Cricetulus griseus: one gene and its partner. The protein of the gene in region 1 binds, or shares a complex with, the protein of each later gene. Links are inferred from orthologs where the notes say so. Each region holds a gene or a part of one and is shown on either strand. Other genes may lie near its edges. The genes, in order: Btk and Birc2.

Region 1 (4,416 bases):
AAAACAAACAAACAAAAAAAACAAAACAGAACAAAAAATAAGGTATAAAGGGCCAAATAACTGGCTCAGAGTGTAAAGGCACTTGTCACCAAGCCTGAATACCTGAGTTCACTCTCCAGGAACTCCGTAGTGGAAATTGATAGACAGATTACATATAGACAGACAGATAGATACATCAAAAGTTTAGCCAAGCATGCTGATGCACGCCTTTAATCCTAGCACTCAGGGGGCTCCATAGTCTCAAATAGACAGATAGATAATTAATTAAAACATTTTAAAGGGAAAAGAAGAAGGAGAGGGACAGAGAAAGACACTTACCTGACTTGGACCTCTGGCTTCCACATGCACACAAACAGGTTTACATACATTTACACACACTTATACATACATATACACACCCAGAAAATAAATAAATAAATCTAAAATGCCAACTCCCTCCCCCCAAAAATACAGGTAGCTTGCAAAGCAAGATATATAGTAGCATTGTATTCTAGTTATATAATATATAGGTGCATGTGTATCGCTAGTGGAGAAAACATATTTAAACCTGTATATACCAGAATGATAATTATTATTTAAATGAATAATGGGTTTATATATCTTTTTATCTTAGTTTTGTGATTTCTATATTTTTCCATTTTCTATCCTAGATATGCATAATCTTATAAACAGGAAAAATAAAATGACAAAAAAATCAATTCAGTAATCATCCGGTGCTATTCCTTGGAAACAGCCTGGGAATTCAGGAAGAATAAAGCTGACTTGTTATCACCAATTCATGGAAGACTGAAGACTTTTCGGGCTGGAAAGATGGCTCACTGGTTAAGAGTACATAACTATTCTCCCAGAGGATCCAAGCTTGGTCCCAAGAAGACACGTCCACTCACAACCACCTGAAATTCTAACTCAGGGATCTGACGCTGGCCTTTGTATACACACAATGCACACACTCAACACACACACACACACACACACACACACACACACACACACACACACACACACTGGCCTCTGTATACACACAATGCACACACTCAACTCACACACACAATTAAAAATAAAATATATTTTCAAAAAAAGCAAGCAAATTCTCTTTTGGCAAATTCTTTTTTAATCTCTCTCTCTCTCTCTTTCTGTCTGTCTGTCTGTCTGTCTGTCTGTCTGTTTGTCTGTCTGTACGTACTTATTTTCCAGAGCATGCCTGTGGGGGTCAGAGGATAGCTTCCAGTGTCAGTCCTCATCTTCCACCTTCTTTGAGACATGGTCACTTTTTCAGTCGTTGCATATGCCAGACTAATTGGACCTTGAGTTTCTAGAATTCTCCTGTCTCCACCTCCCATGTTGCCACAGGAGGGCTGAGATTTCAGGTGCGAATACACTCCTGGGTCTGGCTTTAGGTGGGTTCTGGGGATTCTTGCCTGGCAAGCACTTTACCACTGAACCATTGCCTAAATGACAAGCTTTTCTTTCTTTCTTTCTTTCTTTCTTCCTTCCTTTCTTTCTCTTTCTTACATTTTTGCTTTCTATGTGTTTCGTGTGTGTGTGTGTGTCCACACTCGTACCACAGTTCTCATGTGGAGGTAAGCAGACAATTTTCAGGAGTTGGTTCTCTCCTTCCACTGTGTGAGGTTCAAGGGATAGAACTCAAGTCATCAGACTTGCCAGCAATTTCCCTTACCCACTTGGCAATCTCACTGGCTCCTGATGAAGAGTTTCTAAAGAAACAAAACTGTTCTACAATGCACTACAACACCACCATTCTATTTGGAGTATTTGCAAGTTCCAAGCGCCTTACAAACTGCAGCTCCCCCTCTTTGACACTAGCTTCTTACCGGAATCTGTCTTTCTGGTGGAGGATTTTTTTCAGGAACTACTGTCTCAACGCAGGTGATCTTCTCAACATCTATTGAACCTTTCTTACTGCCTCTTCTCTGAAGGAAGGAGGAAGAAAACGCAGGAAGATTAAGAATGATCAAGCGTTCAGACGTTTACACACATTGTTATCTTATCATCCTCTGTGGTAGGTAGCTCACATATTCTAACAGATCCTGGTTTCTCTTTGTTTGGGGTCTCACTATGTAGCCCTGGCTGGCCTGGAACTCACTATGTAGACCCGAGTGCTGGCATTAGTGTGTGCCATTGTACCTGGCAAAACCTGTCATTTTTAAAGTAAAAAATAATCCAACATTTATCTAGTCTTTAAATACCAAATAGGAGGAAGATGACAAGGAAGAATAAATGATTATAGTCAATTTCGTCACAAGAAACAAAAAAGGCAGGCTGGGTGGTGGTGCCACACACCTTTAATCCCAGCACTGAAGGGCAGGGGTTCTCAGTAAGTTCGAGGGCAGCCTGGTCTACAAAGCAAGTTCCAGGACAGCCAGGACTGTTACACAGAGAAACCCTGTCTCAAAAAACAAAAACAAAAACAAAAACAAAAAACAAAACAACAACAAAAAAACCCACCACCACCACCAAAAAACCAAACCAAACAAAATGACAACAGGGAATAGAAATAAAAAAGGCAACTTTGAATCCTTGGATTGTATTCTCAAGAGGCATGTAAAGAGCTTTTACCAACCGCAAGATTCCATGGAAGACACTCTGAACAGCTTCTAACACTCTTGAATTTTTCCCTGGCTTGACTGCACCTACTCCCAGTCTAAGAAATATTTTTTAAGAGTTTGAAGTACTTAAGTCTATTTTATTTCTACCCCCACATACACCTCCCCTTCTACCATGGATGACCTATCTCATGTCTCACATATCTAAGATCCAATCCTTGAAATGGAGAAATCCAGACTTCACGTTTGGGAAACTTACCCCACGTTCAAAGTCATACTCATAGTAGGAAAGTTTTTGCACAGTCAAGAGAAATAGGCGCTTCTTAAAGTTTAAAGGTGAGGTTTTCTTTTTCTGTTGGGAGCGCTTCAGAAAGATGCTCTCCAGGATCACTGCAGCCATGGCTTCCTCTCTCCAGATCTCACCTGGGTGCTGTGGATAATGCAAGGTTTTGAGGATCTAGCATAGTCATCTCTAATCCCTCCTGGTTCTACCTCTGCCCTGCTACCTGTTTTAAATGAAACCCTCACGTGCAACACTAGCAAGGAAACATTTTTCCTGACCTCCTTCTTCCAAAGTCCCCAACTCTGTCAAATTTCAGAATCAGTGAATGCACACTGAACAAAGCCTGGCTTCTTACATAAGGGAACCAATGTTCTAGATAATCCACGACATATACTAGGTTGTTTAGCAATGTCTAGACACCACTCTAAACTACTTAACCTTTTTATGACACACGGCCAGAATCTGTAAATGGCAAAAATGTCTGTGAAACTCTTGACCCTGATATTCTCAGAAGGAATCATTCAGGTACCAGAATTTCACTAAGGCAGATACTGGACTTTCAGTTCCCAGTTTCCTGAACAATAAATGTAATTTTTTTCAAAAGCTGACCAATTCAGGTCTGTAGACAAAAGAACATTGGTGGGTTCACCTGTACTCATGAACACACAATAGCTGCCATTCGACTGATTTAGTTCATGCCTTACTGTCTGGGTTATAAAGGAGTGAAGCTTTGTTTCCAAGTTGAAAACCGTTTTACTACAGTATATTAGTGCTTCGGCTCTCGCTCCCATTACGGTTTCCACAGATGATTCCCTTTAGATGGCACCAGGTAAAAGTGATGTAACCTGCAGCCTTCCGTTTCCAGCACCCATACCATGGCTTGCACCCACCCGTAACTCCAGTTCTAGGATATTCGGCGCCTTCTTCTGACCTCCATGGACACCAGACATGCAAGTGGTACATGTTGCGATAAAGCTTGAAGGGAACCTTGCATGGGGGACCTTGGTGGATTCCATGGCAGGCAAGGGTGACCAGGCGGGAAGCAGGGGGAGGGTGGCAGGGGGACAGGGACGGACATGCTAGGCAGACAGAGCTTAAGTGAGAAGTTTTATTGGAAAGGGGAGGGAGGAGGAAGGAAAAAGAAAAGAGGTAAAGAGGCAGAGACACACAGAGAGGACAGAAACGAAGAGGGAGACAGGAAACGTCCTGCCTGCCCCAGGGGAACCGCGGGGAAGACAGCTGGAAAGAGAGAGCAGGGAGAGAAGAGCAGGGAGAGCTGGAAAAAGAGAACCGGAAAAGAGAGCATAAGTGGGCGGGGTCTTTCTTTTTAAAGGGGTCCTTTGCACCTGCATGCAGACTACGCAATCATGGAACCCTGGGCTGACCAGGGTACTGCCTGAGTGCATTCTGCCAGGTGACAGGCGCAGGACAGCATAATGCCTGAATCCTTACGCTGCACATATGTACACACAGGCAAACACTCATGATCATACAATAAAATTTTACAAATAAATTGTCTTTTTCTAAGAGAAAAGCATTGTAACTATGTTGCTTTTAAGGATGCTAGGT
Region 2 (4,482 bases), on another chromosome or scaffold:
CCTACTCTAGAATTCAATGTGCACTATTCTTGCTAGAGTCCCACAAGTATTAGGAATTTTTTTTAACTTTCCCAGAAGTAGTGACTTGAACTAAACACTGGCATCCATGTGTATTTTTGGAAGGCAGCCACTGGGAACCATGACACGTCTTTCCTCTGTATCACAAAAGTACAAATACTTTCTTTTTACTCTCACCTCCGTTCTGTGACTGACCTATTGGCAGGCAGAAAGACGGGGAGAGGCAATGGGTTCTGGAATTCCCCTTGGCTGCCTAATCTACTGGCCTGTTATTTCTAAATTTTTGAAATGTTTGTCCCCTGGAGTTCCCCGGAGCGTTTTGATTTCATTGGCTAAGACTAGCCCAAGATAAATTAAATCATAAACCACTCCCCCACCCCCGTCGTGGCGTGCACTTCAAATCCCAGCACACAGGAGGCTGAAGTAGGATGCTAAATCCTACACCAGCCTGATCTTTTCTCAAACAAACAAATAATAATAATAATAATAATAATAATAATAATAATAATAATAATAATAATAATAATAATATAAAACCCGCAAAAGCAACCCCAAACAGCAAACACAACACATCCAAACAGGAGGGCAGGCGGGAAAAGCATTGGGAAGTCCTTCCTGGTGTGCTAGTGTTGGAGGGGCGGCGGAGGTTGGGGTGGGGAGGCAGTTTTTTAAATTTATTCTTCCACAGTTTCATCACACATAAACAACACACTCTGACCTCACTCTCCCCCATTATACTATTAACCCTCCTACTATGCTTTTTCCTTATCTGTTTGTTGCCTGCTGCGCGTATTAAAAACAAAACAATGTGTAACTGCCTCCCCGCCGCAAAGGTCTCAGGCAGCCTCGGTGAGTGAGCCTGGGTGTGCAAGCCTGGGTGTTGGGCCTCGGTGTGCAAGCCTTGCTGTGGTGGACTCGGTGTGCGAGCCTTGCTGTGCTGGACTCGATGTGCGAGCCTCGGTGTGCAAGCCTGGGTGTGCTGGCCACGGCCGGGCGCAACTCCTGGGATTTGCGGTGTGCAGCAGACGAGCCCACTTGTCCGTGGGCCCATCTCACAGAACATCTAAGTCCAACACGCACACGTTTTACTCAGGGGCCCGAGGCCAGGCTCGGCAACGAAGCCACGTTTGCCATGGTGGCGGGCTGAGGCGGGAGAGCGCCCGCGCGGGCTTTTCCGCAGGGTTTCCCGAGCCACGGGCGGCGGCTCGCGGTTGCCACCCTGAAGGTGCAACCGCCAGTTAACACACAAGGCCGACCGCCCGAAACTCCTAGCGGAAGGAGAGTGCGGGCTCGCCCGAGGGGCGTTGGCGAAGGCCCAGCCCTGCTCCGGTCCCGGACAGCTAGGCCCGGATGTTCGGCTTCTAAAACCTGAATGCGCAAGCGCAAGCGCAAGCGCAAGCGCAAGCGCAAGCGCAAGCGCATGTGCAGTCTCGCACGGTTAATTTAGTCCCCTATCGCAGTGGGTGCGCGCCGTGTGTCGTCACCACACGCCCGCCACGCCCCTCTGGCCCCGGGGGCTTTCGGGAAGGCTGAGGGTGAGCAGTAAGGGTTTGCGGCGTCCGTGTCCTTCGACTCCGCGGTGAGTGCGGCTCCCTCCCTCCGGCGAGGCGGGCGAGCGGGCGAGCAGGGCCCTCGGCTCCCCGAAGCCAGCTCAGCCGGTGTTGTAAGAACCCCTGTTGTCAAGGCCGCCCGACCACCGCTCGCCTCCCGGCCCTCGGGCTTGGACTTGCTTTCCAGTTTTGCTTTCTTTTCCTTTCGGTTTATTTATTTATTGAGTCAGCTTAGGCTGGTCCCCAGCTCGCGGCCATCCTCCTGCCTCAGTCTCCCAAGTGCTGGGATTACTAGCACGCACCACCACGCCCATCTCGCAGGGCTTTAAGCTTACCGGTGGCATTTCTCTACTGCCTTTAAACCGAGACGTTTCTCATGTATTGGGGTGAGCAATAACTGCGTGGTTGGCTGAATAGGGAAGCGCGTCTTTTGTCACTCTGACCCAGCGTCACCCCTCTGCAGCGTGCACAGAGAGCAGGCACTGGCTGCAGATGAGCACCGGGTGTGCAGTGGAAGCCTAGTACCAGGCCAGTGCTCCACAAGCAATTGTACTTTTCACTTTTGAGATTGTTTCAGTGGTGGCTGCGCTGGCATTGTTAGGGAATGGTTGTCCTTAACGGAAGGAAGGCGTTAATGAGCTCTTCCAGACTCCTGGGTCTAGGCCAGTTCAGTCCCAACTAGATCAACTGCTCTGCTGGCAGAGCGTTTCATCCTGCCTTATCTTCCTAGTGTTCAGATTGAGATTGCAAGCGGGCCTCGGAAATCTTTCTGTTGAGATGCTTCTTCCTCCTCCTGGTCCTCGTCCTTCTCTTCCTCCTTTTTTAGTTCTTTCTTTAACAACTGCGATGATTAAACCCGGGTCCTTTACTTGCAAGGCAAAAGCCCCAACACGGAGCTGCATCAGCAGCCCCCGCAGACTGTCTCCCCACTACCCACAGGTGCTCTCTGTCTCCAACCAAGTACCCGATCAAAATATCTTTAAATCAGAAAATGAAAGGAGCCTGGCAGTAGTGTGGTCCCAGTGCTTGGGAGGCCAAGACAAGAGAATGCCAACAAGTTTTAAAACCAGCTAGAGTTACATTAACTTTCTAGCCAGCCTAAGCTACAGAATGAGACCCTGTCCCTGCAAAAAATAACTGAAAAAAAGATGACTATGAAGTATGGTACATTTTGTGTAACAATAAATAAACAGTAAATAAAATCACAAATGTGAAATCGGGGACCAATTTTTCTTCCTTGATGGAAATTTCCATCTGACTTTAAAGTTTTACGTTTTAAAATGTACAAAGCTGTGCGCTTTAAAGACAAGCATAGTTAGTGCTCTGGGAAGTCTTCTGCACTCACGTATTTTGATTTAGACCTTTTCTAAGTAGAGTGGTTGGGTGAGAAACTGCTGTAGTTAGGATGTATTATCTACAATGAGTCATTTTTTAGATATTACTGAATAAATTGAAGAGGTCATAACTGGTATATAATTAGTTTTATAAAAATATCTTTTTTTCCCTTCCAGATGTACAGCACTTAAGAGTCTCCATTTCCTCCGGTGTTTTCCTAGAAGTAAACCTAGTCATGCAGATCTGAAAATTTTTATAAAAAATGCAGTTTGAATTCTATGGAGTGTACTTTTGTGTATGAATAGTTATATAAAATATTGAGTTCTCAAAAAAGAAGGCTAGTTAGTAAGGTACTTCGTGCAACAGGAATGCTGTGGTAAAACAGGCTTGTTAGGTACTTGTGGTAACAGAAGAGAGAGCTCTGTCTTCATAAAGTGGTTCATCTGTAATTATAACAGATGTAGTGAAGCTAAGGTGGACTTTTAAAAATGCAGTCTATCAAGTTTATGGACAAAATACTGTGTTGACCAGATATATTAAAATAATAGACACAGGAAGGATTAAGGTACTAACACATAAGATTTAACAGGTGAGATTAATAACAGTTCAAGCTTTAAGTAAAGGTCATTCACCACGCATACTGTAGTCTTAATAGGTGTGTTAACTTCCCCAGAAGGTAACTGAGATTAGTATAAACCACTTCAGGAAATACTGTGATGATGAGCTGTGGGAAATTAGCTTTTAGGAAATGTAACCATGTGGAGAATTTACTTACTTGTATTTGGTAGACAATAGAGTAGGTTTGGACCTTATGTTAAAGTCCTTATAAGGTGAAAAAGCCTGCATATAATTTTTCCAATATAGTCAGCACCTGACTCAGTATATCTTGACTACATAACTTTTTTTAATGAAAGTAAATTATGGTTAAATAGCTCTTGGGTTACCCAAAAGGGTTCATATGATCCTAGAGTCCTGAGTAGTGTAGTATTTTGGGAAATGAGACAGGTTTGTCCTATATAAGGGTGAACTCATATAAATGCAGTCAGGTGTAGTGACTTCCACCCAGTTAGGATCTGTCTGTGGTAGAGATCTTACTTAGTGTGAAGGTGTGAGAAGCTTCACAAAGGCAGTGTAAGCTTTTAGAGATACTCTCACTACTCATGCACACAGCTCTCTCCCAAAGAGTTGTCCAAGGTACCTTACGCCAAAACCCCACAAGTATAATGGAAAATAGCACAACCCTGCCAGACTGGACAAGAGAGAGCAAAGAAAAAATGAAGTATGATTTTTCATGTGAGCTGTATAGAATGTCCACGTACTCAGCTTTCCCCACGGGAGTTCCTGTATCGGAAAGGAGCCTAGCTCGAGCTGGCTTTTACTATACAGGTGTCAACGACAAGGTCAAGTGCTTCTGCTGCGGCCTGATGCTGGACAACTGGAAACAAGGCGACAGTCCTGTGGAAAAGCACAGGCAGCTGTACCCCAGCTGCAGCTTTGTTCACACCCTGCTTTCTGCTAATCTGCAGTCTCCATCCAAGAACACAGCTCCTGTGAGAAGTGGGCTTGCACATTCGTTACC

Evidence for each region.
Region 2: the proteins of Btk (region 1) and Birc2 are in contact, whole or in part, in a crystal structure (PDB 6W7O), measured with the Homo sapiens proteins. The link is inferred for Cricetulus griseus from reciprocal best matches to the Homo sapiens genes BTK and BIRC2. Residues at the interface, in NP_000052.1 of Homo sapiens: Leu483, Asn484, Arg487, Glu488, Tyr551, Ser557, Lys558, Arg562, Lys595, Met596, Tyr598, Glu599, Arg600, Phe601, Thr602, Glu605; in NP_001157.1 of Homo sapiens: Pro280, Ser281, Ser282, Asn301, Asp302, Asp303, Arg314, Cys315, Glu317, Ser318.

What each region holds. Positions count from the first base shown.
Region 1 is NC_048604.1:45,526,041-45,530,456, reverse strand, and holds the start of Btk (tyrosine-protein kinase BTK), read right to left. Parts: upstream 2,965-4,416; coding exon 2,824-2,964; intron 1,932-2,823; coding exon 1,833-1,931; intron 1-1,832. UniProt on the Homo sapiens protein: Non-receptor tyrosine kinase indispensable for B lymphocyte development, differentiation and signaling. Binding of antigen to the B-cell antigen receptor (BCR) triggers signaling that ultimately leads to B-cell activation.
Region 2 is NC_048597.1:122,217,779-122,222,260, reverse strand, and holds the start of Birc2 (baculoviral IAP repeat-containing protein 2), read left to right. Parts: upstream 1-1,455; 5' UTR 1,456-1,597; intron 1,598-3,079; 5' UTR 3,080-4,063; coding exon 4,064-4,482. UniProt on the Homo sapiens protein: Multi-functional protein which regulates not only caspases and apoptosis, but also modulates inflammatory signaling and immunity, mitogenic kinase signaling, and cell proliferation, as well as cell invasion and metastasis.